Linked DNA regions of Schizosaccharomyces pombe. Changing the gene in region 1 together with any one later gene gives a genetic interaction. Each region holds a gene or a part of one and is shown in the gene's direction. Other genes may lie near its edges.

What was found. A genetic interaction does not mean that the proteins touch.
Region 2: of alp13 (region 1) and hat1, changing one enhances a phenotype caused by changing the other (phenotypic enhancement), as found in Schizosaccharomyces pombe (2 studies listed by BioGRID, with this or other methods).

Annotation. Positions count from the first base shown.
Region 1 is NC_003424.3:1,586,823-1,590,577, reverse strand, and holds alp13 (Clr6 histone deacetylase complex, chromodomain subunit Alp13/Eaf3), read left to right. Parts: upstream 1-2,000; 5' UTR 2,001-2,026; coding exon 2,027-2,955; intron 2,956-3,004; coding exon 3,005-3,089; 3' UTR 3,090-3,250; downstream 3,251-3,755. Other genes in the region: thi4 (bifunctional thiamine-phosphate dipyrophosphorylase/hydroxyethylthiazole kinase), read right to left, coding at 1-478; centromere localized protein Cnl2, read right to left, coding at 986-1,115, 1,187-1,623; SPOM_SPAC23H4.13C (uncharacterized protein), read right to left, coding at 3,251-3,634, 3,715-3,755.
Region 2 is NC_003424.3:1,028,405-1,032,159, forward strand, and holds hat1 (histone acetyltransferase Hat1), read left to right. Parts: upstream 1-1,815; 5' UTR 1,816-1,825; coding exon 1,826-1,883; exon of another isoform or gene 1,884-1,933; coding exon 1,934-2,037; exon of another isoform or gene 2,038-2,098; coding exon 2,099-2,317; intron 2,318-2,406; coding exon 2,407-2,522; intron 2,523-2,593; coding exon 2,594-2,957; intron 2,958-3,013; coding exon 3,014-3,289; 3' UTR 3,290-3,537; downstream 3,538-3,755. Other genes in the region: ssd2 (succinate-semialdehyde dehydrogenase), read left to right, coding at 1-1,393. UniProt on the Schizosaccharomyces pombe protein: Catalytic component of the histone acetylase B (HAT-B) complex. Acetylates 'Lys-12' of histone H4 which is required for telomeric silencing. Has intrinsic substrate specificity that modifies lysine in recognition sequence GXGKXG.

The DNA of each region.
Region 1 (3,755 bases):
AAACATGTTCAAGAATTTTTCGCAGACCTGTGATTCCTATTAACCTGTCTTTGACATCTTTAGTGTTTGTCTCGTAAATAGAACCGATACCCACATAATCGGCCCCATCAGCAGCTGCTTTTTCAATTTCCTCGATATTATTAGTGGACACTCCAATAATAGCATCATCGCCAAGAATTTTTCTGGCTAATGCACAATCCATGTCGTCTTGACCAATATGAACACCGTCAGCGCCAACAGCTAATGCCACGTCAATCCTATCATTAATTAGAAAAGGCACGTCGTACTTTTTGCAAATTTCAGAAAGTCGTTTAGCACGTTCTACAAAGCATTTAGTAGAGATGTCTTTTTCTCTGTGCTGAACAAGCGTGACACCTCCCAAAATTCCCTCTTCCACCTGACGTTCTATAGTAGAACCTGGGGCAATTAAACTAGAGCTAGTTACAAGGTATAAAGAATAGTCAATTTGACGTTTCATGTTTGGTATAAAAGTTCTTATATAGAAGTCAAGTAAGTAAACAAAATCCTAGAAATGCCAGATTATGTTGCGGACACCAAAAATTTGACAGTTCAATCTTTCTATGCTAAGAAAAATGAAAATTGAATATTATCCTAATTTAATCAAGAATTTGGCGAAAGTGTTACAAACTATGTTTGCAAATTTTGCTCCATCTTTTATACTGTGTTAGTCATGGTTCGGATGCGTGCTACGACAAGTTAGTGATAACTGATTTTAATCACTCTATTAAAATGTAGTTTGTCAAATGGAACAAATACTGCATGCTTTTGAAGAAAATATATTCGCATTACTTTGAACAGGTTTTAATGAAATGAGTTTATAAAGGAACAGATATATCTTATTAAAAAGGTGCAGAATAACGTTATATTTAATTATTAAAAAGAAAAAAAAATTCATTCATTGTAATAAATACCCGTTAAAGCTATATTATTGAATAAATATGGAACAGCTTAACGTTTGAAGGTCCTAGTCTAATTCTTCTATTGCAGAAGGTGCTGCCTTTTCTAAACTTTCAATTAAAGATTCTACAAGATGAATTGACTCGTCAACGTTTGGCTCTTTTGACCATTGAAAATCGCTAAGGGATGCAATCTGACTAGAAAGAAATTATTAGCAAGCTAAATAAAGCTCAATTAAAACAACCCAAATTCCTAATCAACCTCATACCTATTCATTTTAAGAGTCAATTGTGTGCAGCGCTCTTTTTCCTCATTTAATTTTGTATAAGCAGATTGCACAGCTTCAGAAAGCCGCTCATTGATTTCACTTATGTCCAGCGGTTTTGCACTATGTGATGTGTAAAATTCTTCTACATCGTGCAATGTAGAGGCATGACTGACCGTTTGCAGTTTCTCAACATTTGTTGCCAACATCCTATCTATTCTGCTTTTGCCGATAACTTGACTCTCGAGATGGATGTTAGCTCTCAATTTTGCTAATCGCTTTTGTCTTTGTTGTGTACAGTATTCGTATAAACGCTCAATCAGTGGGTCTTCTCTGTATCTCTGAGGAAACAGTTGCCGCCATTGTTCTAAGCTTATAATAGACTGCAACCGCCCTTGAGAAAGAAGATAATCATTAAGTATTTGTTCCTCCATATTCATGAGCAACCTTTGAGATATTAGTAAATTGAATAAATGAAACGCAGCATTTGATGAAAACTCATGTAGAAAAGCTAATTTTTCCTAAAGTATCCTTTTGACTAAAGCATTTTTTATAATGCGTATTGGGACGTATTTGCTGAACATAATGAAAGTTTATTTTTAATTTATCATTAAAAATCCTAAAACAGTAACTTACTGATAGCACTTTCTCCAAGCATTTTGCAGATGAATGAATTTGTTGCTTAGATAGTATCCTGTTACACCCACCGTTTGTTAATGGGTCTAGATAATTTTTAAAACAAAATAGCTAACTCCTTCAAAGTAGGATAAATTTGCTAAGTGTACTGTTTTGGCACACGTCCTCTTACTTCTAACTCACCACCATACCTACAACGTTGTTGGAATGGCCGTGTCATATAAGGTGAATGAACGTGTACTATGCTTTCACGGCCCGTTACTCTATGAGGCTAAAATTGTTGATACTGAAATGAAAGGTGATGTTACCACGTACCTGATTCATTATAAAGGATGGAAAAACAGTTGGGATGAATGGGTTGAACAAGATAGGATACTACAATGGACAGAAGAAAATTTAAAGACTCAGAAAGAGTTAAAAAATGCCGCTATCTCTACGAGACAAAAACCGACTTCTAAAAAGTCCGCATCCAGCACTTCGAAACATGACTCAACTGGAGTTAAAACATCAGGAAAGAGGTCTCGAGAATCGAGCACCGTAACGGTTGATGGCGATTCACATGAATTGCCTTCACGTATAAAAACCCAAAAATCAGAGTCTCCAATTCCTCAACAAGTGAAACGCGATGGAACAACCGATGCTAAAAACGAGGAAACTACTAAGCCCGAGAATAACGAGAAAGACGATTTTGAGGAAGAGCCACCGCTTCCAAAACACAAGATTAGTGTCCCGGACGTTCTAAAGCTATGGCTTGTTGATGACTGGGAAAACATTACCAAAAATCAACAGTTAATAGCTATACCGCGGAATCCCACCGTCCGGGCTGCTATAGCGGCCTTCCGAGAATCCAAGATTTCTCATTTGAACAATGAAATAGACGTTGATGTTTTTGAACAAGCGATGGCTGGTTTGGTTATATACTTTAATAAGTGCTTGGGCAATATGCTGCTGTATCGGTTTGAACGGCAGCAATATTTAGAAATTCGGCAGCAATATCCTGATACTGAAATGTGTGATTTATATGGCGTCGAACATTTAATTCGCTTGTTTGTAAGCCTTCCTGAATTGATTGACCGGACTAATATGGATTCACAATCCATCGAGTGTTTGTTGAATTACATTGAAGAATTCTTGAAGTATGTTTACTGCTTTTAAACTCCCCTACTATACTAACCATTTATTTAGGTATCTCGTTCTACATAAAGATGAATATTTTATTAAAGAATATCAAAACGCCCCTCCAAACTATAGATCTTTGGTTGGTGTATAAAATTATGATCGTTTGCATCTATCCCAAAGATAACTAAAACGGTAATCTAAAATATATACGTTTTCTTTTTGAGATATAATACACTATTATCTATAGAATGCAGTAGGACCAACATAAGGCATTCAGAGAATTCATGCAATTATTATGTTGTTCCTTAATATTCAGATATTAATCATTTTGCTCTTCAAAGAGACAATTTGCTTCTGCAAATTGCCAATTGGAGTATCAAATTCTAAAGATCCAGAAATTTGACTTCCAAACTGATAAAGTTCTGCATTTACGACACCTTTCATTGCCTGGATGCTCAGGTCTAACGAACTTTCTGCCGGGATACACTGCTGCTCCTGTTCAGTTATATTGGCAACTCTTCTCAATTTTTCTTTAATACAACTCCATTTTTCTATTGTTTTTAAAATTTTTTTATCGTCAACCCGATGTTGTAATGTATCAGTCCGCTTATTGAATCCATCCATAAAATTGTAATAAAGCTTTATGAGTGCCCGTCTAAGGGCCAATGTGTATAACCATTGAGGACGTATGTAATACTAGAATTTGGTGAGTTGGACGTAAATAAGAACCAGTAAATATAAAAACTAACCACAACTTGCTAAGAATGTGTACTTACTTTTGTAATAACGAAAGTCGAGAGACCACTGATAGAAAAAG
Region 2 (3,755 bases), 560 kb from region 1:
TAACAACAAAACTTTTGAGGTTGATAACCCAGCTACTGGTGAAATAATCGGTAAAGTGGCCGATGTCTCAGTAGAGGAAACAAAAAAAGCCATCAGTGCCGCTAACGAGGCCTTCAAAACTTATAAAAATTTTACTCATGTCCAACGTAGTCAGTTATTGGAACGCTGGGCAGAGCTTATTATGGAGAACAAAGACGACTTGGTCAAGATGCTTACCTTAGAAAACGGCAAGCCTTTGAGCCAAGCTGAGATGGAGGTCACCACATGTAGCGGATATCTTAAATGGTATGCTGCTGAAGCCGTTCGTACCTTTGGCGATGTAGCTCCTTCCAGCTTACAAAGTCAAAACTTTCTCATCTCCATCAAACAGCCAGTTGGTGTCAGTGCCTTGATTACTCCTTGGAACTTCCCCGCCGCCATGATTGCTCGTAAAGGTGGTGCCGCTTTGGCTGCTGGTTGTACCGCTATTTTCTTGCCTGCTTTCCGCACTCCCTACGTTTGCTTAGGTTTAGTCAGGTTGGCGCAAGAGGCCGGTTTCCCTGACGGTGTCTTAAATGTGATCACTTCTTCTGATGCATCTGCTCATGGTAAAGAACTGACTACCAACCCTATCGTTCGTAAGGTTTCCTTCACTGGTAGTACTAATGTCGGTAAAATTCTTATGGGACAAAGTGCCAGCACAATCAAGAAGGTTTCAATGGAGTTAGGAGGTAATGCCCCTTTCATTGTATTCCCTGACTTCCCCATTGATCAGGCTGTCGAATCTTTCTGCACTATCAAGTTTAACTCTTGTGGTCAAGTTTGTGTCTGCCCTAACAGAGTTTACGTTCACAAGAATGTTTACGACGAATTCGTCAGCAAGCTTACCGAAAAAGTCAAGACCATTAAAGTAGGAGATGGATTTGACTCTTCTTCTGCTGTTGGCCCTTTGATTTCTCAAGATGGATGCAAAAAGGTCAGCAAGCACATTGAAGATGCTGTTTCAAAGGGTGCCAAAATCACTGTTGGTGGAAAGGAGATTTCCTCAAGCAAAGGTTATTTTTTTGAACCAACCGTGCTCTCCGGTGTAACTCAAGACATGTTGGTTGCTAGCGAGGAAACATTCGGCCCACTCGCCTCTGTCTTCAAGTTCGACGACACCGAAGAGGTGATCGAATGGGCTAACGACAGTGATGTTGGCTTGGCCGGTTACGTCTTTACCAATAACTTGTCCACAATGATCCACGTTGCCAAAGAACTAGAGGTGGGTCTTGTAGGTGCCAATATCGAAATGGTTGACGAACCATTTATTTCCTTTGGCGGCATCAAACAGAGCGGTTTTGGCAAGGAAGCCGGTCGTTTGGGCGTTCAAGAATTTATGGTGGTTAAGGAAATCAATCTCAAGACTCTTTAAGGATTTTCGCTTTAGAAAGCTGCATATTATTGAACAAGCAATGATGTCCTCTTTTGGTTAATGACTAAAAAATCCTGATGTTATGACTGTTTTACATGTTTGCGATACAAATCGTATTTTAGTTTAATGATATCAAAAAAATTTAATACCTGAACATCGTGGGTCATCGATGAAGAATGGATTGTTGTGTCAGAAAATCTATACTTGTAGTTATTGTTCTGAGCAATCTGAAAAGTTATAAAGAATTGTAGGTTCTAAAATTGGCAATACTGGAGCTAGAAATCTATATAATAGTAAATATTTTTTAATAATAACAGGTGTAGCACGTGAAATTTTGCGTCGCCTTGTAGTTTGTTACTTCCAACTAGACACATGTATTTTTTGTTGTTTGACTTGAAATAGGGTCAGGTATTCAATTTTCCGTATGCAGTGATGAGTGCTGTTGATGAATGGGTACATAATGCCAATGAATGCATAGAAATTGTACAAGGTATGCTATGTTAAATTATAATGTTTTTACCTTGTGTTAACACCTGTCAGTAAACGAAAAGCATGAAAAAGATTGTCAATACCATCCTAGCAATACATATGCAATATTTGGAGATGCTGAGGTTATTTATGGATATAAAGATCTAAATGTCACTGTAAGATTAAATCAGCAAGTTTTAGTCATGAAATTTGATTGCAAATAGTAACAGTTATTAGATAACCTATGAATGCCCATTGATGGTCCCAAAACTGGAAATCTCATATTCAGAGCGCCTAGCACCAGATTCAGGAGTGGAACCAACTGATATTGAAGGAACATTAAACACTTATCTAAAAGATCGTTCCATTAAGGTTGAAGGAAACTCATTTGACGTTCATTCGGCAAATAGTATTCATAACTATTCCTTTAATGGAAAAACATTCAAGATTTTACAAGTATGTTCGATTACCTTTCAATTGGAGAAGTATTCAATTATTGAATATCCCTATATGTTCTTTGGCTAATAATCGTAATGTATTAATAGGCAACGGTTCTTGAAGCTAGTGAGATTATGCAGCATTTGCAAATATTTTCCTTATTTTTTATTGAAGGGGGCTCTTTTATTGACCTTAATGATCCAAGATGGATGGTATATTTACTGTAAGTTTGTTATTTTCTACGCGTCTACTTTCCTTTTACCTTTTTATCGAGGTTTTATTAACAAAAATAAGTTACGAGACTACTGAAGATGATTATTGCTTACGTGGTTATTGTACTGTATACAAATATTATAAATGGGACAAATTAATTCACGATGGTATTCGAGCTCGTATCTCACAATTCGTGATTTTACCCCCTTTTCAACATCAAGGACACGGTTCGCAATTGTACAATGCTATTGTTAGTACCTTTTTGAAAAATCCTAAAATTTTAGACTTCACAGTTGAGGATGCATCGGAAGCGTTTGATAGCCTTAGAGACCATTGCGACTATAAAAGATTATTATCAATGGGAATATTTTCAGAACCTGACTTTCATCCCTCTCTTTCTAGGCAGTGGATAAACTCGAAAATAGCTGAAACAAAGTTAACCCAGGTTCGTAATTTGCTAAATTTACCATGCAATGCAACTTACTAATTGTCTTTTTTTAGCGTCAATTCTCACGCTGTTGTGAATTAGCATTTACAACGAAACTAAAAAAGCTTTCATTATTGGAGCGGAAATCTGTTAGACTAGGAATAAAGGAAAGGATTTTTCGTCAAAATCTTGATGTGTTGCTACAGTTGGATAAGTCCGAACGTATTGAAAAAATTCATAACGCCTATGAAAATCAGTTTGATGAGTATAAACAGATTGTCAAAAAGCTACCCAAGCTTAAGGAAGATTCGCCTCGAAAACGCCAAAAACTTGCTCAATCTTCTTCCTAAATGAAAACACTTTTAGAGATCTGAAATACTTTGAGAATATTGAAGGCATATTAGCATAAAAAGTTATGAGAATCGACTAAATTACACTATTGGACGCAATTACTTTTTATATAATTTGCTTTTGAAAGCTTTCGCTTGAAATGATTAAAGACATTTGAAACAGTGATCATTTTAATAATATAAATTTTGTATATATTTTGCAAATTTAGTGTGATATCTAGTTTAATAAAATCTATAAAGGCACCTTATAAAAATTCAAACAATTCCTCATAATGAACTGCTTTTTCCAAAATTTAAATATTTTAATATCTACTATCAATAATATTGGTTATTTTCAACGACCAGTACAACTTTAGGTGCTTGTCATTCTCATCCGTCCTCCTTCCTATTCCGATCCCGACTTTGTTCATTACCTGACACCCCGGATAAAGTTAGCTCAATTAGCAAATTCTCATTCGATCTTATA